Linked DNA regions of Elephas maximus indicus. The main gene of each other region encodes a partner of the protein of the gene in region 4 in a complex. Links are inferred from orthologs where the notes say so. Each region holds a gene or a part of one and is shown on either strand. Other genes may lie near its edges. The genes, in order: RBMX2, SF3A1, SNRPD2 and SF3B5.

Region 1 (7,100 bases), on a different chromosome or scaffold from region 4:
AGAAATGCTTTCTAACTATGATGCAAAATCCAGAAACAATAAAGGCTGATAAATGTAACCAAATAAAAATGAGGAGGGAAGACTGAAGCATGAGCAGAAAGGAGTAAGACGAGGGAGTTTTAGGTGGATGGAGCTGTTATTCATCCTGATTGTGGGAGCAGTTATACAAATCTAAACATGTACTAAAATTCACACAACTGTACATGCCTCAAAAAACCAATGTTACCATATAATTTAAACATATAAAGAAATGAATGCAGGAAATAAAAAATAATAAAAGGAAAATAATTTTGCAGAGCAAAACAAATCATAAGCAAAGTCAAGAGGCAAATGACAAACTAGGAAAACGTATTTATAATTTATCTAACAGATTAAACGGCCAGAAAGTAACTTTTTTTTTTTTTTCGCTATAAAGGGCATTATCACGACAGCTGGAGAAACTGGATAAAGTCTATAGATTAGATAATAATATTATGCAAAGTGTTGATTTCCTGAATTTGATCACTGTTCTGAGGTTAAACAAGGGAATGTCCTTACTTTTTGGGAAATATATATTGAAGAATTTAGGGATAAATGAGCACCATGTCTGCAAGTGACTTTCAAATGGTTCAGAATAAAATTGTATATACATATTGAGAGAAATAAGAAGCCTTGCTGGCACAGTGTTTAAGCACCTGGCTGCTAAATGAAAGATCGATGGTTCGAACCCACCAGCTGCTCTGTGGGAAAAAAGATGTGGCAGTCTGCTTCTGTAAAGATGACAGCCTTGGAAACCCTGGGGTAGCTCTACTCTGTCCTACAGGCTCGCTATGAGTCAGAATCGACTCAGTGGCGACGGATTTGGATAGAGAAATGATGACAAAACCAATGGGATAACATGGTAACATCTGGGGAATCTGGGTGGAGGGGATACAGGTAGACGTTCTTTATACTACCCTACAACTTTCCTATTTTAAGTCTGACATTATTTCAAAATAAAAGTTATAATAAGAAGTCAAAAAAAAAAGAATACAGAAGCTGGCTTGACGGGGCTCCTATCCAATAAAAACCAAACCCATTGCCTTCAAGTTGATTCCAACTCACTGCAACCCTATAGGACAGAGTAGAACTGCCCCAGAGGGTTTCCAAAGAGCGGCTGGTGTATGTGAACTGCCGACCTTTTAGTTAGCAGCCGAGCTCTTTATCACTGTGCCACCAGGGCTCCAACAGGGTTCCTAGTGACCCTCAAATTGGAACAATTTGAGCAACAAGAAAGAATAATGATGGTCACGTATTATAACATATCAAATTATTTAAAAATGAGTCCACGGCAACATAACACATGATAAAGCATTATAACAAAGAGTTAATATCCTTAATACGTGAAGGGCTCTTATAAAATCAATAGGAAAACACCAACAGAAAAAGAAGGCAGGAAATGAAAGGGGACTTACTGTGAGAACACACAGATGATGTCTCCTTCAGTCAGTTCATAAGGAAGCCCTCCTAGAAGAGGAAACCATATTTCAGCACATTTACCAAGTGTCTATTACATACCATGCACTGAGCCAGGCACTGGGGTGCAAAGGAAAGTAAGCCACAGGCCCTGCCCTCAAAGAACGTACAGTCTGATGCAAAGATGGAAGTACGTATAAGGTGCAGAAGTACAGAAAAAGAAGCGATTAAAGGTGTGTGTCACCCTTAACCAGGCTGATCAGATAGCTCAGTCCTCACACCCAAAATTCTATTCATGAAGCAGATAGTTTCCAGTACAAAACTGTTTCCACAAACTTATTTTGAATTCATCTGCTCTTTACCCACAATTTTATAGCTAAGATCCAAAATCAGCTTAAATATGTTCATATTAACCCCACCCACACAAACACTAAGGATTATAAAGATAACTGTTAGGCATTTCATAGGAAATAAATCCCGCCCCCCATGTTTCCTTCCTCATCTGTAAAATGGAGATACTAGTACTTATCTCACAGGATTGTTACACAAATTAAACAGTGTATATGAAGTGCTTAGCACAATTAATAGTTACAACATAAAGTGAATCTAGGGATGGTGATATGGCCATGGACAGAAGGTAGGAGCTAATTAAACAAACAAAAAAAATCAAACCCAGTGCCGTCGAGTCGATTCCGACTCATAGCGACCCGATAGGACAGAGTAGAACTATCCCGTAGAGTTTCCAAGGAGCGCCTGGCGGATTCGAACTGCCGACGCTTTGGTTATCAGCTACACCAACAGGGTTTCTTCAGGAGCTAATTAGATAAGAAAAATGAATTTTGAAAGGTGATAGTTTGGGGTGGGAGGGCGGTTGGCTGCTTCCACTTGCTAGTTATGTGACCTTACGGAAGCCGGTTAATTTCTCTGAGCCTCAGTTTCCTCAGCTGTATAACGGGAATGAGGCGGGGGTACAGAAATGATCTCTGAGAAGCCCGTGAAAGGCTCTCAGGAAAGTGAATGGCACACAATAACAGGAACGCTCACGAGCATTGATTTGGCAGGGAAAGCAAACTAGAAATGAGGGCGAAAAAAGATATAAAATCGGATTAACAGCAGACAGCAGGTCAGTAAGAGCGGATGATGAAATGTGGGCAGGGGCGAAGAGCTAGAATGCTGAAATGTCAGGAAGCAGCCAGAAGACTCACCCAAGAAGACCCAGGCGCTGTCCTTGTACTCGGAGTGCCAGGAAACCTTATCGGCCACCCCAAGCTGGACCTCCCGCTCATTCAGCTCGTTGATCAGCTTCACCTTAGTCAAAGGGCTGCAGAGAGGGTGGAAGAGAGACAAGTAAGTGAGGTCCGGGCTGAGCTAAGGGAGAGCAAAACTAGGGGGACTGGACTCTCTAGCCTCCGCGCCTCTCTCACCCCTCCGCCCCGCAGACGCTCTACCATCCCAGACCCCGTGGTCCACCTCCCGGCGGGCAGCTCCCGCTTCCTCAGAAGAAAGTCGGGCCTTACTTCATCTTCGTGGGTCCCCGCTTTGCACCGAAACCTAGTCTTCCGGGTGAGGCTGCGCGGCACATGCGCAGCCCGGGCGCTTCGCGCTCATTGGAGGCGGCGGAGCATGCGCCGGAAAAGCTCGACCGCGCCAGGGGCGTGGCGCCTGCGCACGACTGTGAAAGCGATTTTTCTAGCTCCGTGTGCTTCGTTTTCCCGGAAGGAGTTTTTCTCTAGTCTCCTGCGCCATCTGTCTGTGAAATGGGGCAAGAGTGCTAGGCTGGCTTGTCACAGAATCCCACACTGATTGGGTTAGCTATAAAAATTTACTGAATGAAGAATGAAAAAGGTGCCCCATGTGGCGACATTTGTCCAGCCCTCGCTCCCAGTCCAAGCCCCCACTCGGGCCTTCATTCCCAGACCATCTCTCACAAACACACATCCTAGTATTCTTGTTCAGCAGTATGGCAGAAAAGTAAAAAAAAATATGCCAATGCATAGGCAATGGACCACTGTGCCTCCACAGGCTGAATTGAATCTGTTTGTGTGAGAGCTGCTACATTTACCCTTCTCATAGTCTCGCCTATTTGAGTGGGAGGCAGAAATTAATGTTGTTAAAGTAAGAGCTAACAATTGAGCAGATAATGCGCTAAACAATGCCAGATCATGTGCTGAGCAATTTACGTGTCTCTCCTTTACAACAACCCCATGGAGTAGATAATACGATCATCCCCATTTTATAGAGAAAGAAACTGAAGTTCAAAGGAATTAATTAGCTTGAAAGGTACTCTGCCTCTACCCACCAGGTGAGGTTTATTTCATCAGTGCTTACTGAGCATCTATATTTGTCCTGTACAGCTAGAATCTGTAGAAAGGAGTTTAAGGCTGGTCCTCTCCCCTCAAGGAATTAATAATATAATTGAGGAGACAAGATATATTTGCCTAATAGATGTCACTCCAGAAGTATCCAGGAACCAGTAGACAACATGGTGGCATATGATGTGTGATTTTAGTCATAACACTATTTGAACCCATTTGCATCTTTCCACATCAAAATCTGGTCTTGGACCATGATGTTTTAAAAGTGAAAGTCCAGAGCAATGTAGTTCTCTGTGTAGGCCTAGCTCAGAGTCAGATATTAGGCCCTTTATAAAAGTATTTTGATGATGATGACAACTGTATTCTCAAGTGGCTCACCATGTACCTATGTCCTGCCAAGTAGCAGAACAGTGGCTGCCCATCCATGACAGCATCTCCTCATACATCCGGTGTCTGTGTCCCCTCCCTCATCCCAACCCAGCTATTCATTAACTTTGTAGAATTCTCTTGGCAATAAAAACTAAACAGTGACAGATTGCATACGGGTTTATCTACCTCTAGGAATCTCAGGTTGCTTAGTTGTAGGGTTGAAGTAGCCACTGCAAAGTGGTAAACTAGCATGTAGCATTATCTGGTTGACTTCTTCAAGTGACTATGAAATGAGAGAGTTGGGGCTACACCTGTCCCAGTCATCAGCATTCAGAAGGAAACTAGAACAGAAAAGGTGACTAAATCAACCAAAGGGAAGGGTGATATTGGTTGAGGAGAACATAAGAAGACAGTTGCTATCCAGCTGGTGGGTTCAGCAGAAGTATTCTGAAGCTGGGGGAGCTGACAATCATCCCAGTTTGCTTGGGACTGAGGGATTTCCCAGGACACAGGACTTTCAGTGCTAAAATTGGAAAGTCCAGAGTAAACTGGAATGGTTGGTCACCTTAGGAGAACCTGAAGTAAATAAAGAAGCAAGAAAGGCAGATTCTCCATGGATGTGCTTGCCATTGGTAGAACTGGTAGGTAAGATAATGCCTTGTGATTTCTGTAAGTGTGAGTTGAAAGGCAATGGGGGTCCAGAAGACCCCCTGAACTTAATGCCTGAGAAGACGACCAGGGTTTGCCATCCAAGGTGGTTATCAGTGATCTCCGCCAACATTTATTTAAGACCCACTGTATGCAGAACTCAGCTCTAGTTTCTTGGGCAATGCTAAGGAAGCTGAAGTAGTCCCCACATTAAAAGAAAGACTGAACTATTTGTCTAGCCAAAGTCAGCTCCCTACTTCTCACCACCAAACCACACCCCAAAACAGCTTTCCCTATTTTGGGCAATGCTATCACCATTTTCCTGGTTGCCCAGGGTGAAAAAATGGTTCTCATATTTCAGTCTTCCCATTTGTTATGGATTAAATTGTGTCCCCCCACCAAAAAAAAATGTGTTGGAATCTTTACCCCTATACCTGCAATGTAATCCTATTTGGAAATAGGGGTTTTTGTTATGTTAATTAGGTCATGCCGAGTAGAACCAAAAACCAAAACCATTGCCCTGGAGTCAATTTGGACTCATAGCGACCCTATAGGACAGAGTAGAACTGCCTCAGAGGGTTTTCAAGGAGCAGCTGGTGGATTCAAACTGCGACCTCTTGGTTAGCAGCCGAGCGCTTAACCACTACACACCTGGGCTCCTACCTGAGCAGGGGGAGTTCTAAATTGAACCCGATCTAAATTTAATCATTGAGTTCAAAAAAAAAGCAGATAGACAAAGAGGCATGCACACATGGGGGAAGACAGATGCCATGTGAGGATCACCAAGGAACCAAGGAACGCCTGGGGCTACTGGAAGGGAAGAAATCAACACAGCTGAGACCCTGATTTGGACTTTTAGCCTCTAGAACTGTGAGAAAATAAATTTCTGTTCTTTAAAGCCACCCTTTTGTGGTATTTCTGTTACAGCGGCACTAGGTAAGAACCTTGCCCCGCCAAGTCCTAATAATTGTACCACTGCAGTGTCTGTAACACATACATCTTCAGGCTACAATCCTACTCCCAGTGATTATCACATGCTTCTTAGCTCTCTCAGTACTCTTATAATTCATACCAGCCCCTAGTCTTGATTTCTCTCATCACTCCCTGACACAGGCCCTCGACTTCAGTCAGGCTCCACTTTGAGCCTTCCCCTCGAGGGCCCCTTTCATTACCCAACCTGGACACCTCTGCTGAAAGAGCCCCATATACCTGAGAGAGCCAGCCCCCTCTCTGTCTGATTGAAACCTGCCCAAGCTGCAGACCTGGATCAAGTTGTCCCTCCAGCAGGAACTTTTCCTGACCTTACCAGCCCACAGTGATGGCTCCCACTTCTGAACTCTGCTTCACTACAGAACTCTTTATGCACTCTTCCCAGAAAGAGCATGAGATCCTGGAAGGCAAAGGCTCTGCATTTATAACCTCTCAGCACCTCAAGCCTCAAGCACTTTCCTGCACACATAACTTATACCCAATACAATAATTGGTTAATAAAGTTGAAAAACACACACAACTATGGTTACCTTAGGAGTCCTTAGATGGTGCAAATGGTTAAACACTCAATTATTAACTGAAAGATTGGCAGTTGAGTCCACCCAGGGGCACCTTGGAAGAAAGGCCTGACAATCTACTTCTGAAAAATCAGCACCTGAAAACCCTATGGAGCACAGTTCTACTCTGACACACATGGGGTCGCCAGGAGTCAGAACTGATTCGATGGCAACTGGTTTCATGCAGTGGTTAAGCATTAAGGCTGCTAACCAAAAGGTCAGCAGTTCGAATCCACCAGGTGTCCCTTGGAAACCCTATGGGACAGCTCCACTTTGTCCTAGAGGGTTTCTATGAGTCAGAATCAACTCAATGGCAATGGATTTCCGGGTTTTTTTGTTTTTGAGGGAAACAGATGAGGGTAGTAGAAAAAGAGGTTTTTATTTTCCCTTTGGACCTTTCTATACTGTTAGAATTTTCTTACCTTTATCCAGATATTTTTTTAAATGCCACGTTATCTTGGCAGATGGATTATGACCTTTCTTTTTTTGCTTTTATCTTTTATTCATTCTTTCAACAAGTATTCATTGAGCAGCTATTATGCGCCAGACACTGTTCTAGGTGCTGGGGTTATAACAGTAAACAAGGCAAACAAAGTCCCTGCCCTCATGGAGCTTACATTCTTGTTGGAGAAGAATGACAATACACATATACACATACATCTAAAGTTGATAAATGCTATGAAGGAAAAATAAAGCAAGGCAAAGGGATAGAGAGTGACGGAGTGTTCTTATTTTATAAAACGTGTTTGGTCAAGGAAGGCATCCCTGATAAAGTGCCATTGAGAAA
Region 2 (7,917 bases), on a different chromosome or scaffold from region 4:
TTAAGTTGCAATACTGAAGGATTCCATGAGCAAAATACTGAATGATGCAGGAAGATGAAAGGAATACACAGAGTCACTGTACCAAAAAGATTTAGTCAACACTCAACCATGTCAGGAGAGAGCATATGATCAAGAACCGATGGTACTGAAGGAAAAAGTCCAAGCTGCACTGAAGACATTGGTGAAAGACAAGGCTTCAGGAATTGGCGGAATATCCATTGAGATGTTTCAACAAAGGAATGTACACTGGATATGCTCGCTCATCTATGCCAAGAAATTTGAAAGAAGCTACCTGGCCAACCGACTGGAAGAGATCCATATTGGCCCATACCAAAGAAAGGTGATCCAACACAATGCAGAAATTGTCAAACAATATCATTAATATTCCACGAAAGTAAAATTTTGCTGAAGATTACCAAAAAATGGTTGCGGCAGTACGTCAACAGGAAACCGCCAGAAACTCAAGCCAGAATCAGAAGAGGACATGGAGCAAGGGATATCACTGCTGATGTCAAATGGGTCTTGCTGAAAGCAGAGAATACTAGAAAGATGTTTACCTGTGTTTTATTGACCATGTAAAGGCATTTGACTGTGTGGATCATAACAATTATAGACATTTCGAAGAACAGAAATTTCAAACACTTAATTGTGCTCATGTGGAACCTACACATAGACCAAGAAGCAGTTATTTGAGCAGAACAAGGGGATACTAAGTGGTTTAAAGTCAGGAAAGGTGTACATCAGGGTTGTATCACTTCACCATACTTGCTCAATCTGTATACTGAGCAAATAATCCATGAAGCTGGACTATATAAAGGTGGGAGCATCATGACTGGAAAAAGACTCATTAACAACCTACCATATGCAGATGACACAACGTTGCTTGCTTAAAGTGAAAAAGACTTGAAGCACTTACTGATGAAGACCAAAGTCTATAACCTCCAGTATGGATTGCACCTCAACATACAAAAACAAAAATCCTCAGAACTGGACCAATAAACAATATCATGATAAACACAAAATACTGAAGTTGTCAAGGATTTCATTTTACTTGGATCCACAATCAACGTCCATGGAAGCAGCAATCAAGAAATCAAACAACACATTGCATTGCGCAAATCTGCTGCAAAAGACCTCTTTAAAGTGTTCAAAAGCAAAGATGTCACTTTGAGGACTAAGATGTGCCTAGCCCAAGGCAACCCATGGTATTTTCAATCAACTCATATGCCCGCAAAAGCTGGACAATGAATAAAGAAGACCAAAAAAGAATTGATGCCTTTGAATTACGGTGTTGGCAAACAATATTGAATATACCATGGACCATCAGAAGAACAAACAAATCCATCTTCGAAAAAGTACAGCCAGAATGTTCCTTAGATGCAAGGATGGCAAAACTTCGTCTCAGTGTTTCAAACTTTGGGCATGTTATCTGGAGGGACCAGTCCCTGGAGAAGGACATCATGCTTGGTAAAGTAGAGGATCAGCCAAAAAGAGACAGACCCTCAATGGGATGGACTGAAACAGTGGCTGCAACAATGGGCTCAAACATAGCAACAATTGTGAGGATGACACAAGACCTGGCAGTATTTTGTGCTACTGTACATGAAGTCACTATGCGTTGAAACAGACTCAACAGCACCTAACAGCACCATGGTAGAAGAACAGTCCGTCACTATCCTGCTTTTCTTTTTTGTCTGTCTACAAAAAGTTCAAATCCTCAGAATTATACTGCCTGCCACCACCCTCCCAACCCTATACTTCAACCACAACTATCTATTTAACCTTGACCAGGGCATCATCGGCTGCCTACTTTGGTGCCTTTGCACTTATTATCTTATCTGATGTTACTTTATTTTTCCCCAGTGCCTGGTTATGTTCCCTGTTGTATTCTGAACCCAAGGCAGTAGATACTAAGTGCTCGATAAATGGATAAAAGCTGAATTAAGAATACTATCTCCCTTCTCCAAACTCCTACTCATCCTTCTAAAAACAATGTATCTTTCACCCCTTGGGCTTCACCTTACTTAACCCCCCCTCTACCCCATCAAAGCAGCGTGGGTTAAATTACCATTTTTGTCCCTGTTACATACTCCTATTGCAGGGCATAGACCACCATGCTGCAATTACCCATGGGCATTCTCCCCCTTAGCTGATTAAGAGCTTTTCAAGTGGTGGTGAACTGGGTAATTTATGGTGACAAAGACAATAAATATTTGTTGAGTTTTCATGTATATGTCTCTCTCATTAGTCTGTGAACTCCCTAAAGCAGGAGCTGGGCCTCATTCAGAGCCTGGCACACTATCTTGTAGATGCTGACAATTAACATCTAAAAGTGGGAAGTACAGACTGGAAAATTAGGGATTACTGGGCATAAGGCTTGGAAATCCTGGTGGCGTAGTGGGTAAGTGCTACGGCTGCTAACCAAAAGGTTGGCGGTTCAAACCCACCAGGCGTCCCTTGGAAACTATGGGGCAGTTCTACTCTGTCCTACAGGGTGGCTATGAGTCGGAATCGACTCGACGGCAACGGTTTGGTTTTTTGGTTTGGGCATGAGGCTGGCAGGGAAGAGGGGACGGGGGGGGGGTGGGCTGCTGATCAGTGCTTCTCAAGATTTTATGTGCATATGAATCACCTTGGGTGCACGTTAAAACGTAGGTTCCTATTCACACGGGTTGGAATCAGATATTCCCGGAATTCTTATAAGCTCGCAGGTGATGCTCATGCTGCTGGTACGCGGACCACACTTTTAAGAACCACTGTTGCAACATTCTCTTGGTTACCAAAGAGCAGCGCGGCACGGGAAGCGCGCTGCCTCCTGGGACTTGTAGTCCCTCCAAAACGGCCGCTTCTTCCTGCACGCGTGAGGAACACCCGCGCCGGGGGGGAGGGCCCAGGCCTAGGCTGGGGCTACCGGTCGAGGTACGGGGGTGCGGTACCTGTTTGGGCTCGGTGGCCACGGGCGGCGGCGGAGGCACCGCCTGCACGGGTCCAGCCGGCATGACTGCGACGCTCAGGGCTGCCAGTCCGCCTTGGTTTCGGTCAGCAGTGCTGCGCCAAGACACCTTCCCTCACGGACGGTACGACGAGTTCACAAGATGGCGGCGGAGACAGCCGAGCGAGTAATCTTCAACCAGGCGAGCCTGACGCACTTCCGGGACCGCCCCTCGGCGTGGCGTGGCTTCCCCTCCCTCCCCCGCTGGTACTGGTTTCACGCGACGCCGTTGCCATGGCAGCGGTTCGGGCGCCTTACCTGGGGTTTCCGGGGATCCAGGGAGCCGCAGGCGTGCCAGGGCCAGATACATGAGCCGGCCAGATTCAGGGGCTGAGGCCACGAAGCTGAAGACAGGTGAGATGTCCTACATCTCCCCGCCAGCCGCTCCCCGCACACACCGTGCCTCCCTGGCCCCTCATTTACTCCACGCCTGTTTCCCGCTCACTTAGACCCGCCTCCCAAGGCCCCTCAGACCGCCTCCTCAAAACTTCGCCTCCCTGCTGCCTTAACCCTTCTTATTCGCTTTAGACCGGCATCCTCCAACCCCCTCAACCCCCTTTAAAGTCACAGACCCTAACTCTCTCTGGTCTCTTTCTCGCGGCCCGCCTTTTTTAGGTTCCACTCCCTTCTCTCCATGCCCTCCTCTCTCCATAGGCCCGCCCTCAAACCCCACTGGTGAGTCCCTGCTGACCACGCCCTTCGCTCCCTCGAATCCTGTCCCTTTCGCTTCCCCTCCCGAAGCCCCCTCAACCCTGGCTCCTTTCCCCTCAACCCTGGCTCCTTTCCCCTCCCTCCTGGCTCCAGAATGCGGGGAAGGGGTTCTGAGCAGTGCCTGAACCTGTTTTCTCACCTGTGAAATAAGGGTGATAGATGGTCTCCATCATACACACACTATAGCTGGGTTGTGTCATTGTTGTTATAATTAATCGAGAATACAAACGACAGCTAGGATTTACTGAGCATTCACCATGAGCTGGACCCTGTGCCCAACACTTTATGTACATTCTATCATTTATCCTTTTTAGCAACCGATTTATAGATGAGGACAGTGGAGTTCAGAGTTAGCACAATGGGAATCCAAACCCAGGCCAGACTTTCTCCTCTACAAGTGCAATTTGTTATTCCTGTCTTCACTGGTCCCCTCAGTGTCTCCAAGGATCCAGGCAAGGTTCCTTCAGTGTCTCCAGGGATCCAGGCAATTAGCATTCCCCGAGTTAGAGACTGACAGCTGGTTTTAGCGATTCCAAAGTGTTTGCACGGTGGTGACCTTGATTCTGACCAAGGTAGGCGTAATCTTTACCAATGACGTAGGGTACTAGAACTCAGAGAGGGAAATGGGGCTTCAATATTGAATGGAAGGGGAGGCAAAAGCTTGCATTGAGGTCATGGAAGCTCCATAGACACATCCAAACTCCCTGAGGGACCCAGCTGCTGCTGGGCTGAGGACTGTGGGGACTGTGGCCTCAGGAACATCTAGCTCAATTGGCATAACACAGTTCATAAGGAAAATGTTCTACATTCTACTTTGGTGAGTAGCGTCTGGGGCATTAAAAGCCTGTAAGTGGTCATCTAAGATTGGTCTCACCCCTTCGGGAGCGAGGGAGAATGAAGAAAGCTAAAGATACAAAGGAAAGATAAGTCCAGAGGACTTAATGGACCACATTTACCACTACCTCACCAGACCCCACAACCATCACTGACTGCTCTCACAGGGATCACAATAGAGGGTCCTGAAAAGAGCTGGAGAAAAATGTAGGAAAAAATTCTGACTCAAAAAAGACCAGACTTACTGGCCTGACAGAGACTGGAGAAACCCTGAGAGTATGGCCCCCAGATACCCTTTTAGCTCAGTAATGAAGTCACTCCCAAGGTTCATCCTTCAGCCAAAGATTAGAAAGGCCTATAAAACAAAACAAGACCAAAGGGGCACACCAGCCCAGGGGCAAGGACTGGAAGGCAGGAGGGGACAAAAAAAGCTGGTAATAGGGAACTCAGGGTCCGGACAGGAGAGTGTCATGGGGTTGTTAACCAATGTCATAAAACAATATGTGTACTGTTTAATGAGAAACTAATTGGCTCAGTAAACCTTCATCTAAAGTACAATTAAAAAAAAAAAAAAAGCTTGCCTTGAGCCAGGGGGAGCTGAGGAGACACAAGTTAGCTGCTGCTCCTACCTATTGGCAGTGCTGGCTTAATTGGTGACTATCACTTTTGTGGCCATAGGTACAGTGGATGGTGCAGGGCTGCAGCTCCAGGCTGAGGAATTACAGAGAAAATCCTTATCAAGTCTGCTTTACTTGACATGATTCTCAAACCATGCGTATATTTGCATATCCCCAATTTTCAGAAAAACAATATAAAGTAATTTTAGGTGTTTTTCAATGTTATGTTTTCCTATTGTATATTCTCGTTGCTTTGCCAGAATCTAAGGGGCATTGATACCTAAGATGCCCCCAAATAGCAGCTATAGTGATTTGAAGGTGGACAGATTGGTGTTTCATTGTGTCTTCAAGAAGCAAGCCCATGAGTTCCAGGCACTTTGCCACCTGCATATATCTCTGCCCAAGTTGGGGCTTCTTGCTTCTTTCATTTGTCTCCTTCCCCACCCCCCACCATTATGGGAGGGAAACCCAGAATGTTTCAGTCTGTTTTTTTCCATTGGTGTTTTCCTCACTCCTTAGGGACATAAAATCTCTTGAGCAGCAAAATCTCATGACAGGTCAGTGCCTGTGAGGGATGTGGCCCATTCTAGAACAGTGCATGCATATGCCTGCCAAGCGGCAGACGCACATGGCCTTCCCAACCGTGTAGGTGAAGCCCATGGAGCTCACAGACCCAAGGCTGACCCACAAAAGAGACCCTCAGACATGGATGGTGGGTCCTTGAGGACATGGCTCTATGTACCCTCCTCAGTCCCCAGTTCTTCACGTGGTGCCCGGTGTGTAGTAGGTTCTCAGTCCACAGTTGTTAAATGAAGAGACAGTGTCGGATCCTCCACACCTGCACATTCCAATACTGTGGCCACCAGCCCATGTGACTGTCAAGCATTTAAATTGGTGGCTGGTCCAAGTTGAGATGTTCTATATCAAATACACACTGGCTTTTCAGGCTTAATAAAACAAGAAATGAAGAATATCTCCTTAATAACTTTATATTGATTTCATGTTGAAATGAGAGTATTTTGGATTGTTGTTGTTATTGTTGTTAGGTGCTGTTGAATTGGCCTGAACATAGTGACACTGTGTACAACAGAACAAAACACTGCCTGGTCCAGCGCCATCCTCACCAGCGAAGCTAAGGTTCAGCCCGTTGTTGCAGCCACTGTATCAGCCCATCACATTGAGGGTTTTCCCCTTTTCCACTGACCCTCCACTTTACCAAGCACAACGTCCTTCTCCAGGGACTGATCCCTCCAGATAGCATGTCCAAAGTATGTAAGAAGTCTTGCCATCCTCACTTCTAAGGAGCATTCTGGCTGTACTTCTTCCAAGACGGATTTGTTCGTTCTTCTGGCAGTTCATGGTATATTCAATATTCTTCACAAATACCATTAATCAAAGGTGTCAATTCTTCGGTCTTCCTTATTCATTGTCCAGCTTTCACATGTATATGAGGTGATTGAAAGTACCATGGCTTGCATCAGGCACACCGTAGTCCTCAAATTGACGTCTTTGCTTTTGCACACTTGTCTTTTGCAGCAGATTGGCCCAATGTAATAAGTTGTTTGGTTTCTTGAGTGCTGCTTCCATGGGCATTGATTGTGGATCCAAGTAAAATGGAATTCTTGACAACTTCAGTATTTTCTCTGTTTGTTATGATGTTGTTTATTGGTCCAGTTGTGAGGATTTTAGTTTTCTTTATGTTGAGATGTCATCCGAACTGAAAGCTGTAGTCTTTGATCTTCATCAGTAAGGACTTCAAGTCCTCTTCCCTTTTCAGCAAGCAAGTTGTGTCATTTGCATATTGCAGGTTGTTAATACGTCTTCGACTAGTCCCGATGCCACGGTTTTCTTCATGTAGTCCAGCTTCTCAGATTATTTGCTAGGCATGCAGTTCGAATAAGTATGGTGAAAGGATACAACCCTGATGCACACCTTTCTTGATTTTAAACCATTCAGTATCCCTTTGTTCTGTTTGAATGACTCTCTCTTGTTCAATGTACATGTTCTGCATGAGCACAATTAAGTGTTCTGGAATTCCCATCCTTCACGATGTTATCCATAATTTGTTATGATCCACTCAGTCGAATGCCTTGCATAGTCAATAAAACACAGGTAAATATCTTTCTGGTATTCTCTGCTTTCAGCCAGGATCTATCTAACATCAACAATGCTATCCCTTGTTCCACATTGTCATGGATTGAATTGTGTCCTCCCAAAATATGTGTTAACTCAGTTATGCCATGATTCCCAGTATTGTGTGATTGTCCACCATTTTGTCATCTGATGTGCTTTTTCTGTGTGTTGTAAATCCCGTCTCTATAGATATTAATAAGATGGGATAATCTTAATTATGTTGATGAGGCAGGACCCAATCTATAAGGTTAGATTTTGTCTTAAATAACTCTCTTTTGAGATATAAAAGAGAAAAGCGAGCAGAGAGACATGGGGACCGTATACCACCAAGAAACAAGAGCCAGGAGAATAGCGCATCCTTTGGACCTGGGGTCCCTGCGCTGAGAAGCTTCTGGTCCAAGGGAAAATTAATGACAAGGACCTTCCTCCAGAGCCGACAGAGAATGCTTTGCTCTGGAGCTGGTACCCCGAATTTGGACTTCCAGCCTCCTAGGCTGTGAGAGGATAAATTTCTGTTTGTTAAAGCCATCTACTTATGGTATTTCTGTTATAACAGCACTAGAGAACTAAGACACACATCCTCTTCTGAATCAGATTGAATTTCTGGTAGTTGCCTATCAATGTACTGCT
Region 3 (7,574 bases), on a different chromosome or scaffold from region 4:
ACAGACCTTATCATCATTTGTTGTTTATCATGATATGTATTTACATGCTTCCCTACCTACATACAGCACAAATTCCCTGAGGGCAGGTAACCTGTCTATCTTAGTCACTGCTGTATCCCTGGGACCTAAAACAGTGGCTGGCATGGATGAGTTCCTGTCAATCATGTATTAAATGATTAGGTACTTCACATGCATTAAGTCACTGAATCTTTGAAACCACCATGATTACTGCCACCAGTCTCTGGGTGACACAAAACAGTTAAGCATTCAGCTGCTATCCAAAAGGTTGAAGGTTCAAGTCCACCAAGAGGTACCTCAGAAGAAAAGCCTGGCAATCTACTTCTGAAAAACCAGCCACTGGAAACCCTATGGAGTACGGTTCTACTCTGACACACAGGGAATTGGCCATGAGTTGGAATCGACTGATAATTGACCTGCTGAGGGTCAGGTGGCTACAAACAGAGTTGGGATGTGAACCCAGGTGAGGCAGCTCCTGAGTGCATGCTCACAACCACTGCTCTGGTGGGGCAACGAGAGGCAGCCAGCCCTTGGGGCTTCTGAGAAACCTTGTCTTTAGGGTTCTCAGATTGGAGGTAGGCTGCTCTCCAGGCCTGGACAGAACACCTCCCGAGACCTAGGCACTCACCTGTCGAAGGCCTTCACACGGCCCAGGAGCTTCTTGTTGTTGCGACAGTTGATGAGCACTTGGGTATTGTTTTTGACTGACTGCGTGAGCACGGAGAGGGGCCCAGTGTTAAACTCCTCCTCCTCTCGCTTCTGCAGCTCTTCCGGGGTCATCTCACTTTTGGGCTTGTTGAGGAGGCTCCTGGATGTCAAGCACGAGACATGTGAGTGAGAGGGGCTGGGGCCAGAGCACGGGGGAATCACAGCCTAACCTTCAGTGGCTCCCCCAGCCTGGCCTCAACACACCCACCCTCCTATAGCTCAGTCCTCTCTCTTAGCATCACCATTTGGATGCGTGCTATGGACTAAATTGTGTCCCTCCAAAATATGTGTTGGAATTATCACAGGAACTCAGCTGCTAACCAAAACGTCAGCAGTTCGAGTCCACCAGCCACTCACTGGAAACCCTGTGGGGCAGTTCTACTCTGTCCTGTGAGGTTGCTATGAGTCGGAATTGACTAACAGCAACAGGATTTTTTTCTTTTTTTAATATCTGGGGATGTGATCATGTTTGGGAATAGGATTTTCATTTTGATGTTAATGAGGCCCTATCCTAAATTTAATCGGTTCTGAGTGATAAAAATAGCCAATTAGACACATCACCAAGGAACTGAGGAACACAGGGGCTACAGATCATCCACCAAAGGACTTCTAGCCTCCTGAGCTATGAGAAAATAGATTTCTGTTTTTTAAAGCCAACCACTCGCGGTACTTGTGTTACTGCAGCATGACCTAACTAGAACGATGCCTAATAGGCATTCCTAACATTGCATGTCCCAGGCTGTGCAGCAACCACAGCTCCTCCATCTCTGTTGATGGCAACTCCATTCTTCTGGGCAAAAAACTCAAATGTCAACTTAGCTCCTCACTTCCTCTCCTAACCTACATTCCATCTGTTAGCAAATCCTGTCATCTGCCTCTAAAATACATGCAGAATCTGACCATTTCTTACCACGGTTACCACCCTGACATAAACCTCCAGCATCTCTCCCCTAGAATCTTACTGGTTTCCCTTCCTCAACCTCTGCTCCCTGGCAGTCTGTTCTTCACAGAGCAGCCCAACGGCTTGTGTTAAGACTAAGTCATTCTTCGAAATCCTTCCATGGTTCCCATCCCAGTGTAAACCTGATAAAAAAAAACCTGATGCCATCGAATCGGTTTCGACTCATAGTGACCCTACAGGACAGAGCAGAACTGCCACATCATTCTCCCTTGAAGTAGCTGAGAGCTTTGAACCACCGACTTTTTGGTTAGCAACGGCAGAGCGCGTAGCCACTGTCCTACTGGTGCTCCTTCATCTCAGTGTAAGAAGTAGAAATGCAGTTTTTGCAATGCCCTATATCTGCAACACCCCCATCCTGCTCCAGCCACAATGGCCTCCTGGGTGGTCTTTGAAGATATTAGGCAAGCTTTCAGTCTGGGGTCTCTGCATTTGCTTTTCCCCCTGCTTGGATCCCCCCCCAGATATCTGTGTGGTTTCCTGCCTCACTTTCCTCAAGTGTCATCTTCTCAATGTGGCCTTTTGTGCTAGTTATTAAGTTAGGCGTTCTTCATTTTTTTTAACCTGTTCTACTCTGAAACACATGAGACTGCCATGAATTGGGATCGACTTGATAGCCAACGGGTTTGGGTTTTTTTTTTTTATTGCTTCACCTAACACAACATATACTTTACTTGTTTACTATATTTATTGCCTGCCTTTCCCCTCATAAGCTGCACCCGGGAAGACATTTTTTCTGGGGGGAGGGAAGTTTCTATTTTTTTCACTGACACACTCCAGGTATGTAAAGCAGTGCCTGGTACGTAATGAGCACCCAATAGATATTCGGTGAGTAAAATCAGTCCCAGTGATCCAATATCCATAAAAGTCGCGAATCAGGCTGAAAAGCCGCATGTCTCTAGATCAAATCATCCAGCTAAGTCTCTCATCTCAAATCGTTACCCCTAAAAGGCCGCACTCGCCTCCTCCAAGTTCCTTAATCGTAGAACCACTTCCTCTTAGTATTTATTTCAACAAGACTAATTACCTGGGAAAGGTCCCAGCCCGTTATCTGATAAAGCAGTCCCCTCTCCCGAACTCATCTGTAAAAGGCCCCGTTCCCGTTCTCACATCCATCAAAAGTCCTCCATAAAATTTCTGCTTTTGCCCCCGACTCGTTATCAGGAAAGGGCCCTCTCACCCCCTTCCAACCGTTAATCGGCCAAATTTACACCCTCAACCCCACTCCCGCCGCCTAGTACGGGCCCGGCCTCACATGGTGCCGGCTGCGTTCTCAGGACACTCCTGTCTCCCCCGCGTTGCTTCTGCCTCTGAAAGGAGAGGCGGGACTTCCGCTTCCTGCGGCCCACTTCCGTCAGCGCCTGCGCAAACTCAAGCAGCGGATGGGGCGTGGCCTGTTGCTATAGCGATCCCCGCTAGCTGTGCTTAGTGATGGGATAAAAGCCTTGCTCAGAGGTTCGAGACCACTCAGAACCATTCGGGGCAAATCTTCACAACGATGAAGGGAAAAACAAAGGTGGTCTGACTCGAACCATTTCGCCGTATAACGGGATAGGCTAAAGGAAGGCAGCGAAACAGCGTTTCCAAATACCCGCCGGTCCGGCCTTCGGGGGCGCGGCCTCCGCAAAACCAATCCGCTCCTGGCTGCAAGGGTGGGTCCCGCCCCTTTTTCCTCAGGGACGGTTCATTTTCGCGTCCATCAATTTCTTCGACTCAGCACAACCAATCCGTTGCCTACATCCGGAAGGGGCGCGGACCTGCACCGGAGAGATCGAAAGTTTTCCAAGATTGAACCCTTGCCATTGGTTTCCCCTCCTCTGCCGAGGCGGAGCCTAGCCCTTTCGGTCTCCCTTTTGGGCTGTGCAACGCTCCGGGGAGCCAATTCTGCCAAGGGAGACGGGGAGGCGTGTCCTCGGACCGAGAGTTCCCATTGGTTCCTCTGCTCGCCAGGGTGGGATAATACCGTCGCTGTGGTTGCTCATTGGTCCTCCTACTGCATGGGGGGCTGGTCTTGGCTGGGCCTGAACTGGCGGCTCCGCGGTCCAGGACCGGGTTGCCTGGCAAAGCTGCCATGCGTTCCGGGAGCCGTGGGCGGCCCCGGCTACGGCTCGGGGAGCGCTTCTTGGAGCCCCCCTCACCGCCCAGGCGCCGCCTACTACCGCGGGCGCGGCTGTTGCCCCTGCTGCTGCTGGCGTTGGCCGTGGGCTCAGCGTTCTACATCATCTGGAGCTGCTGGGACCACAGCACCGGGGAGCTGCCGCTGGGCCAAGAGCTGCGGGTGAGGCCAGGCGCGGGGCCCGGGCTCCTCGGGGGCCCTTATTCCCCGCCGACCCTTCTCCAGGGTCTCGGGTTGACTGACGTGGCCTTATGGTGTGGCCCTAACCGCAGGTGCCACGGTCTTCGTCTTTCGAGCGCATGCACCTTTCCATCGGAATAAGGTTCCGGGTTTGTTTTGTCATTCTGGCTCCCCCTTAAGTGGAAGGGCCTGGAGTGGTAAGACTGAGCGTTGGGCGACTGAGCTCTAATCCTAAATCAGCTGCCTGGAAGATAACCTTCCTCTCCCTGGCCCTTGATTTCCCCATCAGGATTGGGGTGGGCTGGACCAGATGGACATCAAGGGACTTTTTTCCTGGGGCTAGGATTTATCCTAGAAGCCCCTGATGCTTATGAAGAGGTACCAGGCTCCTAGGGGGAAGCGGCGCCTGGGGTAGGGTCGGAGTGGGAATTGCTCTCATGTTCTGCACTTCTCTACCCTTCCCCCTACCAAGGCCCCGGTGATCGGAAGCCTCTCTGAAGCTCGGCTTCGGAGGGTGGTCGGGCAACTGGATCCGCAGCGTCTCTGGGACGCTTATCTGCGTCCCTTGTTGGTGGTGCGGACCCCCGGCAGTCCCGGCAATCTTCAAGTCCGAAAGGTACAGGACTGAACCTCCAAGCCCTAAGCTCCACAGCCCGCAGGGGAATGAATTGGGAACTGAGCATCGTGCCATGATCACAAAGCAGCTAAGGGTCAGAGGTGGGGCTCTGACTGGAGATGATCTGACTCCAGTCCCAATAGAATGTACTACCCCCATCAAAAGCTTACTATATGCCAGGCACAAGCAACAGCCCTACGAGGTGGGTACCAATAAATATGATCTTTATTATGCAGATGGGGAAATCGAAGCCCAGAGAGGTTGGACACTTTGCCCAAGTCCTATAGCTAATAAGTGGTTTGTAGTTATTAGTTGCTGTCTGTTCCAACTCATGGCAACCCCATGTGTGCAAGGTAGAACTGCTTTATAGGGTTTTTAAGGCTGTGACCCTTCAGAAGCAGATCTCCAGGCCTTTCTTATGAGGTGCCGCTGGGTGGGTTCAAACTGCCAGCCTTTTGGCTAGTAGTTGAGCGCCTAACTGTTTGTGCCTTCCAGGGACTCCTAATAAGTAGTAGACTTTCAGTTCGAAGCCATGCAGGCTGAGTCCAAAGCTGGTGCTGGAACATCTCTATATCACCTCCCAGAAAGTATTGAGAGTCATTTGTCTACTTCCTGGGTTGGAATCCCAGTGCAGCTGTTTAAAAGTCTGACCTTTGACTAGTTTATTTATTTTTTTAAAATCGTGCTTTAGGTAAAATTTCACAGCTCAAGTTAATTTCTCATACAAAAATTTATACACGTATTGTTTTGTGACATTAGTCACAATCCCCAAGGACTAGTTTCTTAATCTGTTTCCTCATTTTCCTCATCTACAAAATAGGGCCCATGACAATCCTTACCCTGTAGAGCTCTGTAGGGTTCAGAGAACACGGCCTGGCACACGTTGAGTGCTATTTAAGAGTAAGCTGTGATTAATCTTGTTGGCATCTTGCCTGGCACCCAGAAGGTCCTTGGTAGAAATGTGTCAAGGGAAAGTTTAAACATGAGACTTGCTAGTTGGCCCAACAGGTCTGCATGGCTTAGGGTACATGCGCCTTATCTTGGCCTCCCCTGAGGCCTTGTCCACCCTCCTACCTCTCTTTTGTCACTAGTTCCTGGAGGCCACCCTGCGGACACTGACAGCCGGCTGGCATGTGGAGCTGGACCCTTTCACAGCCTCAACGCCCCTGGGGCCGCTGAACTTTGGCAATGTGGTGGCCACGCTGGACCCGGGGGCTGCCCGCCACCTCACTCTCGCCTGCCATTATGACTCAAAGCTCTTCCCACCCGGGTCAACCCCCTTTGTGGGGGCCACGGATTCGGCTGTGCCCTGTGCCCTTCTGCTGGAGCTGGCCCAGGCCCTTGACCTGGAGTTGAGCAGGGCTAAGGAGCAGGTGAGGTACCAGGGCTGGGGGTGGGGGGATGCCTCCACCCTGGTCCAAGCCACCACCCTCTCTTGCCTAGGTGTCTGTTACCCTTCTGGTCTTCCTGCTTCACTCCACGTACAGAGCCACAGGGATCTTTCCACACCCTGAATGTCAGACCTGACCCTCCTCTGCCCAAAACCTCCCCATGGCTGCCACCTCATTCAGAGCATAAGCAGAGTCCATACAGTACCCTAGAGGTGTGCCGTTACCTGTCTGATCTCATCTCCCACTTCTCACCCCTCCACGCTCCACTCTAGCCACACTCGCCTCCTCTGTGCTTCTCAAACGCACAACGTTCCCTCCTACCTTAGGATATCTGCACTTGCTGTTTTCTTGGCTGGCTCCCACAGCAATCAAGTGTAGTGATTACAGATGGGGCTCTGGGGTCAGACAGATCCGGGTTCAAATCCTGCCTCTGCCTCTTACTAGCTGTGTGAACTTGGGTAAGTGGCTTCATCTCTCTGAGCCTCAATTTTCCTGTCTGTAAAATGGGCATGGTGGTAATCATAATAGGAGTATCTACCTTATGCACTCAGGGATTAAATGAGATGAGGATCATAGTAAGTCTGCAGTAAGGGGTAACTAACATTCATTCTTGCTGGGAGGATCGGTGCTTTATCCTCTGGCCCCCTGTACTCCTCTGATGTATGCTTAGAATGTCCTTTTCTAGATATCTTCCTGGCTGGCTCCCACCCTTCATTCAGGTATCTACTCCAATGTCACCTCCTCAAAGAGGCTTCCTAACCACCCTGAAATTTTTCCCTTTCACTATCTCATGTTTTGTGGTGCTTCATGCCGATTTGTTTGTCTGTTTCCCCAAATGCAATAAGCTTCCTGAGGACAGAGACTTGGCTTCTTTTGTTCCCTCCCTGCTATATGCCCTGGGCCCAGGATATTGCCTAGCATAAAGTAGGACATCAATAAAAATTTATGGAATGAATGAATAAAATCATTTATCTCCACATGCTCCTCCCTGTTCAAATTCCTTCCATGGCTCCCCAGTGCCCTGTAACAGAGCTCAAGCTCATTTGCCTTTGCTAACCCCTCCAGCCTCCTCTCAAATGTCTCTGGCCTCTTCCCTGGTCCCAGACTTGCCCTGGAATATTCTTCCGTCTGCTTCCCCATCTACTTTTGCCGGGCCAGCCCCCACTTACCTCAGTGTAAACATCCCTTCCCCAGACTCAATGCCGTCCCCAGGCTAGGTCAGCCCCCCACCCCTTCCTACTCTCTCTCAGGACCTTGTAGTTCTCAAAAGCATTTGTCCCAACTGCAGTTATCTACACCCACTCCTCACTTATCGACATGGTTAGGTTCCAAAGACCAGGTCATCATGCGAAAATTGGCATTGTGTGAAAATGGAGGATGACCACATCACATCACCAAATGGAGGATGACTACATTGGTACATAACTGCCAAACCACTGAAAATCATGGCCCAGCCAAGCTGACACATAACCTTAACCATCACAGCCAGTGTTACTCTTGCCTTGCACTTGGGCATTCCTTACTGCCAGATGTATGTTGTTAATGTGCAAAAGAGTTGGATAGTGGATTTTTTACTGTCGTCATAAA
Region 4 (6,092 bases):
GATGGTTCGGTTTTTTTCTGTTTGGTAGGCTTTGGGTTTGTTTGGCCTCCTCCCTACCGCTCTTCCCCGCTCCCTGTATAATGTAAACCACAAAAGCCTGGAAAAATGCCTGACACGAAGAGCTCAACAAATATTTGCCGAATGTTGAATGAACGAAAGAGCTCATTTGCTAGCTTGTCAGTCCTGACGACAAAGCGAAAAGTCCCAAAAGATGATGCAATTTACACAGAGAGAGAGAAAGACAATGACAGCTAAGACTTCAAAAATGGGAGAAAAGGGTGGGATACACTGATCACAAACCTCAATACTGACAGTATTATGGCGGTAGAAAAAAATCGTTGAGAAAATTCGGGATGAGGGAACATCATAAAATATGCGCAAGGCGGATTTAAGCGCCTGGCACTAAATGCTGGCCTTGAAATGCCCGTCATCTCCTGCTCGGCCTCCCAGGAAACCTTAGTCCCCAAAGCCCTCCCTGGGTCCCTCCACACTCGAACACATGTAGTCCACACCAAGAGAGTGAACAATTTCTAAACTTTATAGATAAAACGAAAACGGCAATCAAGTAGCCAAAAAACGAGCCTTCAAATCCCGTCTCGCTCCAGTACCGCCTCCCCTAACGCTTGCCGGCTCTAGGATCTTTCCACGATCCCAGTTCTCAGAAGTCCTGATTGTCTCCCACCGCTGTGTTCCGAAGGGTAAGCAGGAAGGCAGGTCAGGCAGGACGACCCTGGGTAACCATGTTTGTTCGAGGAAAGCGCGAGCAGCCGGAGTCATGGAAAATCGGTCTTCTTGGGGCAGGAATGCGCTGGAACGACGGGAAAAACGAGGAACGCTGGGAGATGTTCCCGCACAGCGGTGTTAATGCGGCGTCTCAGTTCTCCTCGGGCTTGTCCGCTGGCGGCCCGCAAGGCTGCAGCATCTTCTCCATCAAGTTGAAGCGGACTCGTGCCTTGCTCTCATTCTCCGCAATGGCGAAGTAGTTGAGAAGGTCGAAGTGGCCCATGTAGGAGCAGTACGAGTCCCGGTGCTGGTTCACCAACCACTCCCACTTGGTGGTGTCGGCGTGGCCGGTGCCAATGTACTTGGACTGCAGATGCTCCAGCTGGCTGTGGATGGTGTAGCGGTCCGTCATCTCGCCGTGTTCCCTTTTGATCCCGGGTCGGAGGCCACAAAACAGAAGTAGCTGCTCTGGGGTGTCAGGCCTGATAGACGGAAATCTCCGGACCCGCGCAGTCGCAAGATGATGGCGTCAGAGCGACGAAGCCGCGTTGACTCTTGGCCGTAGTGCTCAGACGGGGAAGCGGAAGCGTATTCTGCTACCTAATTGGGGTTGCCTAGGCGACAGAACAAGTGCCCCGCCCCTATAGGGACAGTCACGCCCCCTTCGTAGAGCGTTGCATGATGGTCCATTTAGTGGCTTTTGGCCGCGCCGTTTCACCTGGGGTCGTTGTTTGCTGGAACTGTAGTCCCCCTGGGTTCGTGCATGCAGGTTTTTGGGATCCCTTCTTGGTTATAAGAGGCCACGGGCGGCTTGGGGCTGGAGGAAATGGGGAACGCAAACTGGATAGCACTACAATGGACTCGATATAATTATGCTTTCGGAGTTCATGTGGCGGTACGGTAGCCCCTTTGCAGCCAGAGGTCGATCACCCTAAAGTCAGGAGATGCGAATTCTGGTCCCAACTCTGCCTCTTAATAAATTGTACGGATTGAGGGAATTATTTCAATTTTCAGGCCGCCGTTTCCTGCTTGATGACCAAAGTACAGTGCCAGTTCTGACACGTTCCGGCTTCCACACACAAGCTCCTCCTTCCACCCTAGCTTCTTATTTTGAGATCCTCCCTCCAACTCCTCACCCCATCCTACACGGCCCCAGCCTATACTTAATGTTACGTGCTGCTCGCGTCTCCAGTTCTTTGTACAAGCTGTTCTATTTGGAATGCCTTTGTTCTCTTGGCAAACACTTCTCCCTTTCAGTCAGCTCAAAAGCATCTCTTTGAAGCCTGCTCTGGCTACTCCAGACAGATGTAAACTCCTTCCTTTTTATATCTCGTACACCTCTTCTTTATTATCGCTTTATACTTTGATTTTTGGTTTAATAATGTTTCCTCGTGAGAATAGAAATTCCTTGAGAAAAGAATCCTATGGTTCTTTTATGATATTCCCATAGCCTAGCAGAATAGTTGGGAGAGATTGTAGTCTCAAAAAAACATTTGATGAAAGGGTAAACAACTGTATAACTAAATAGAAAAAAAAAAATAGAAGGAACTCTTTATTGGGAGAGATAACGAAAATATTTTTGTTCTGCTGTTTAAACTTTGTCATCACATATCATTTCTAAAGTGTAGACAATAATGTTTAGACAATATTATAAAGCATACCTTTGAGTTCACCAAGCAGAATTTTCAAACATTGCCATTTTTGTTATTATTTTGCCTTTGTTTGTTTTAAAGAAAACGATACAAATAAACTTCAAGTTTCTGAGTTCTTAATCTGTACACGTCAGGACAAAAACCAAACCAGCTGTCCTCTAGTTGATTCATGGCGACCCCAAGTGTGTCAAAGTAGAACTGCATTCCGTAGGGTTTTCAACGGCTGTGATCTTTCTGAAGTAGATATCCAGGCTTCTCTTCCCAGGCGCCTCTGGGCCCACCCGCCAAACTTCAGGTTAGCAGCCAAGCATGTTAACTGTTTGCATTTCCTAGGGACTCAACACTATTCTGAATTTAATCATTCCTGAGCCTGTTTTTCTATTGCTGAATGTTTTTGTATAGGTGTTAGTGTAACACATGTTGTAAAGTAAGGGGGAAAACCTCTGGATGGTGGCTGGGAGAAGCTATGCTGGCATTTCCACTTCTTCATGGCCCTAGTGCCGCTGCACTGACCACTGCACTGACCACTGCACTGACGGATAATATCAACATCATTACAGGGGCTGTCCACCAATCCCGATGGACCACGCCCCTGAACATTGCCATGAACATGCCCTGAAGAAGAACCCACCCCTCTTGTTTCCTCCCCATATATAAACCCCTGTGCCTGGAGATCAGAGAGGCGTCTTGGAGACCCAGGGTGAGATCCTTCACTTGGCCAAGCAGGTAAAGATTTTCTTCCTTCACTTTTGCCCAACTCGTGCCTCAGTGTCATGCCAAATGAAACCTAGAGGTCTGAAAACAAAAGCTTTACCTAAATGAAACTGAGTATGTATTGTTATGGAGCCTCTGGCTGGTGCAAACGGTTAATATGCTTTGCTGCTAACCCAGAGTTTGGCATTTCCAGCCCTCCCAGAGGCACCTTGGAAGAAGGCCCTGGTGATCTACTTCTAAAAAATCAGCAGTTGAAAACCCTACGGAGCGCAGTTCTACTCTGACACACATGCAGTTGCCATGAGTTGGAATCAAGTCCACAGCAACAGCTTTTTGCGTGTGCGTATTGTTATAAAAGTTGCTTCTTTTTTCACACTTCAGTATCCATGTTGATATATTTAAATTTAGTTCAAGTTTACTGCTGTGTAGTTTGCCACTGAATGGACATACTACAATATGTCCACTCTTTCACTAATGGACTTAGTTTATTTCCAGATTACTGCCATTAGAAACAATACTGCAATGAATATTCTTGTACGTATATTCTTAAACAGCTGAAGGAGTTTCTTTAGGGCATATACACAGGAATAAAGTCGCTAGGACATACAAATGAGTGTCTTCAAGCTTTGCTTGACACTGCCAAAATGCTCTCCAAAGTAATTATACCAATTGACTCTCCACCAGCAGAATGAGAATTCCTCTTGCTCCACGTTCTTTTCAATACTTGGTGTCATGGATTGAATTATGTTCCCCCCAAAAAGTGTGCATCAACTTGGTTAGGCCATGATTCCCAGTATTGTGGTTGTCCTCCATTTTATGATTGTAATTTTATGTTGAGAGCATTAGGGTGGGATTGTAACATCCCCCTCACTCAGGTCACCTCCCTGATCCAAGGTGAAGGGAGTTTCCCTGGGGTGTGGCCTGCACCACCATTTATCTCTCAAAAGATAAAAGGAAAGCGAAGCAAGCAGAGAGTTGGGGACCTCATACCACCAAGAAAGCAGCACCAGGAGCAGAATGTGTCCTTTAGACCAGGGGTCCCTGTGTAAATAAGCTCCTCATCCAGGGGAACATTGATGAGAAGGCTGACAGAAAGAGAAAGCCTCCCCCTGGAGCCGACGCCCTGCATTTGAACTTGTAACCTACTAGACTGTGAGAAAATAAATTTCTCTTTGTTAAAGCCATCCACTTGTGGTATTTTTGTAATGGCAGCACTAGATGACTAAGACAGTTGGTGTTGTCAGACATTTAAAAATTTTGTATACCTGAATGGTGGGTTGTCATTTCACTGTGGCTTTAATTTGCATATCCCTAAATTTTTTTTTTTTAATTACTAGGAAAGTTGTGTTACCAATCGCCAATCTGACACAATGGGTCCTTGTCTTTTCCCGAGTAAAAATACACGCGAAAGACCAACTTTATCTTCGGCAAGCTTTGTTTTGCTTGAGTCCAGTAAAAGAAGTCATTGGGGGACTAAGCCTCCACAAGGCTGACTTGAAAAGGGAAGCAAGGCTAGGGCTTATATGGGTTTGGTGGAGGCAATAAAGTAATGAATATTTAGTGGGCTTCTTTCACGGTACTTCTCAGTGCGCGCATCTGGAATCCAAGATGGAACCCACTGATATTCAAGATGGAGTCCTCTTGGCAGCCCTTGGCATCACTCATTATGGCATATAGCACAAGTGCACTGATCTTTGGCACTACATCACCATGTTTGGAGAGCTAAGAAAGGTTAAATCGCGGTCACACTTCGTTATGTGCATGCGGGAGCCTGTAAAGGGGGGGAAAAAAAGGAAGGGACTAGAAAAACACTAAGAAGGAGATAGTAATTCACAGGTTGTTTCAACCTTATGTTGACAGTGTGTGGTTCCTGTTTACCCAACTTGTAGATGGTAATCTTTTAACAGCTCTTTTGTTCTGCCAGCACAGTTAACCCTATCTGTCTCAGTCGAACATCTTCCAACTTGTTCTTTGGCCTATTGGGTTTCTGCTTCTGTGAACTACATATTCATATCCTTTGCTCATTTTCTTATTGGGATGTTTGTCTTTTTCTTACTAATTTTTAGGAGATCTTTATTTATTAAGATACTAGTCTTGCCAGTTATATGCAATGAAAGGATCTTCTCCCACTCTGTGACTTATCTTTACTCTTTTGTTGTGGTATCTTTTGTTGTACAGAAGTTTTTAAATTTTAAAGTAGTCAATTTATGAGTCTTTCTTTATGGTTTATGCTTTTCTCATTTGGTTTATTATTTGTTTTCTTCTGGTGCCTGATGGCTTCTTTTGTTGCTCACTTTCTATTTGTTCAAGTTGTAGGGACAGTTCTCTGCTTTTGGCTCTTTCTTCTTTTTGTATGTGTGCATTTATCGATATAAATTGGCCTCTGAACACTGCTTTTGCTGTGTCCCAGAGGTTTTGATAGGAAGTATTTTCATTCTCGTTGCATTCTATGAATTTCCTTATTCCCTCCTTGATGTCTTCTATAACCCAGTCTTTTTTCAGGAGGGTATTGTTCAGTTTCCAACTATTTGATTTCTTTTCCCTAGTTTTTCTGTTATTGATTTCTAGTTTTATTGCCTTGTGGTCTGAGAAGATGCTTTGTAATATTTCGATGTTTTGGACTCTGCAAAGGTTTGTTTTATGACCTAATATGTGGTCTATCCTAGAGAATGTTCCATGTGCGCTAGAAAAAAAAGTATACTTTGCAGCAGTTGGGTGGAGAGTTCTGTATAAGTCAATGAGGTCAAGTTGGTTGATTGTTGTAATTAGGTCTTCTGTGTCTCTGTTGAGCTTCTTACTGGATGTCCTGTCCTTCTCCGAAAGTGGTGTGTTGAAGTCTCCTACTATAATTGTGGAGGTATCTATCTGACTTTTCAATTCTGTTAAAATTGATTTATGTATCTTGCAGCCCTGTCATTGGGTGCATAAATATTTAATATGGTTATGTCTTCCTGATCAATTGTCCCTTTTATCATTATGTAGTGTCCTTCTTTATCCTTTGTG

The links.
Region 1: SF3B5 (region 4) and RBMX2 share a complex: the UniProt entries of both Homo sapiens proteins name them as parts of the minor spliceosome. The link is inferred for Elephas maximus indicus from reciprocal best matches to the Homo sapiens genes SF3B5 and RBMX2.
Region 2: SF3B5 (region 4) and SF3A1 share a complex: the UniProt entries of both Homo sapiens proteins name them as parts of the 17S U2 SnRNP complex. The link is inferred for Elephas maximus indicus from reciprocal best matches to the Homo sapiens genes SF3B5 and SF3A1.
Region 3: SF3B5 (region 4) and SNRPD2 share a complex: the UniProt entries of both Homo sapiens proteins name them as parts of the minor spliceosome. The link is inferred for Elephas maximus indicus from reciprocal best matches to the Homo sapiens genes SF3B5 and SNRPD2.

Annotation. Positions count from the first base shown.
Region 1 is NC_064846.1:26,103,765-26,110,864, forward strand, and holds the start of RBMX2 (RNA-binding motif protein, X-linked 2), read right to left. Parts: upstream 3,017-7,100; coding exon 2,952-3,016; intron 2,756-2,951; coding exon 2,640-2,755; intron 1,486-2,639; coding exon 1,434-1,485; intron 1-1,433. UniProt on the Homo sapiens protein: Involved in pre-mRNA splicing as component of the activated spliceosome. As a component of the minor spliceosome, involved in the splicing of U12-type introns in pre-mRNAs.
Region 2 is NC_064840.1:26,016,912-26,024,828, reverse strand, and holds the start of SF3A1 (splicing factor 3A subunit 1), read right to left. Parts: upstream 3,021-7,917; 5' UTR 3,000-3,020; coding exon 2,937-2,999; intron 1-2,936. Other genes in the region: CCDC157 (coiled-coil domain-containing protein 157), read left to right, coding at 3,301-3,346. UniProt on the Homo sapiens protein: Component of the 17S U2 SnRNP complex of the spliceosome, a large ribonucleoprotein complex that removes introns from transcribed pre-mRNAs.
Region 3 is NC_064829.1:103,947,149-103,954,722, reverse strand, and holds the start of SNRPD2 (small nuclear ribonucleoprotein Sm D2), read right to left. Parts: upstream 3,024-7,574; 5' UTR 2,942-3,023; coding exon 2,940-2,941; intron 827-2,939; coding exon 647-826; intron 1-646. Other genes in the region: QPCTL (glutaminyl-peptide cyclotransferase-like protein), read left to right, coding at 3,756-3,962, 4,453-4,596, 5,688-5,969. UniProt on the Homo sapiens protein: Plays a role in pre-mRNA splicing as a core component of the spliceosomal U1, U2, U4 and U5 small nuclear ribonucleoproteins (snRNPs), the building blocks of the spliceosome.
Region 4 is NC_064819.1:214,617,788-214,623,879, forward strand, and holds SF3B5 (splicing factor 3B subunit 5), read right to left. Parts: upstream 1,265-6,092; 5' UTR 1,136-1,264; coding exon 875-1,135; 3' UTR 518-874; downstream 1-517. UniProt on the Homo sapiens protein: Component of the 17S U2 SnRNP complex of the spliceosome, a large ribonucleoprotein complex that removes introns from transcribed pre-mRNAs.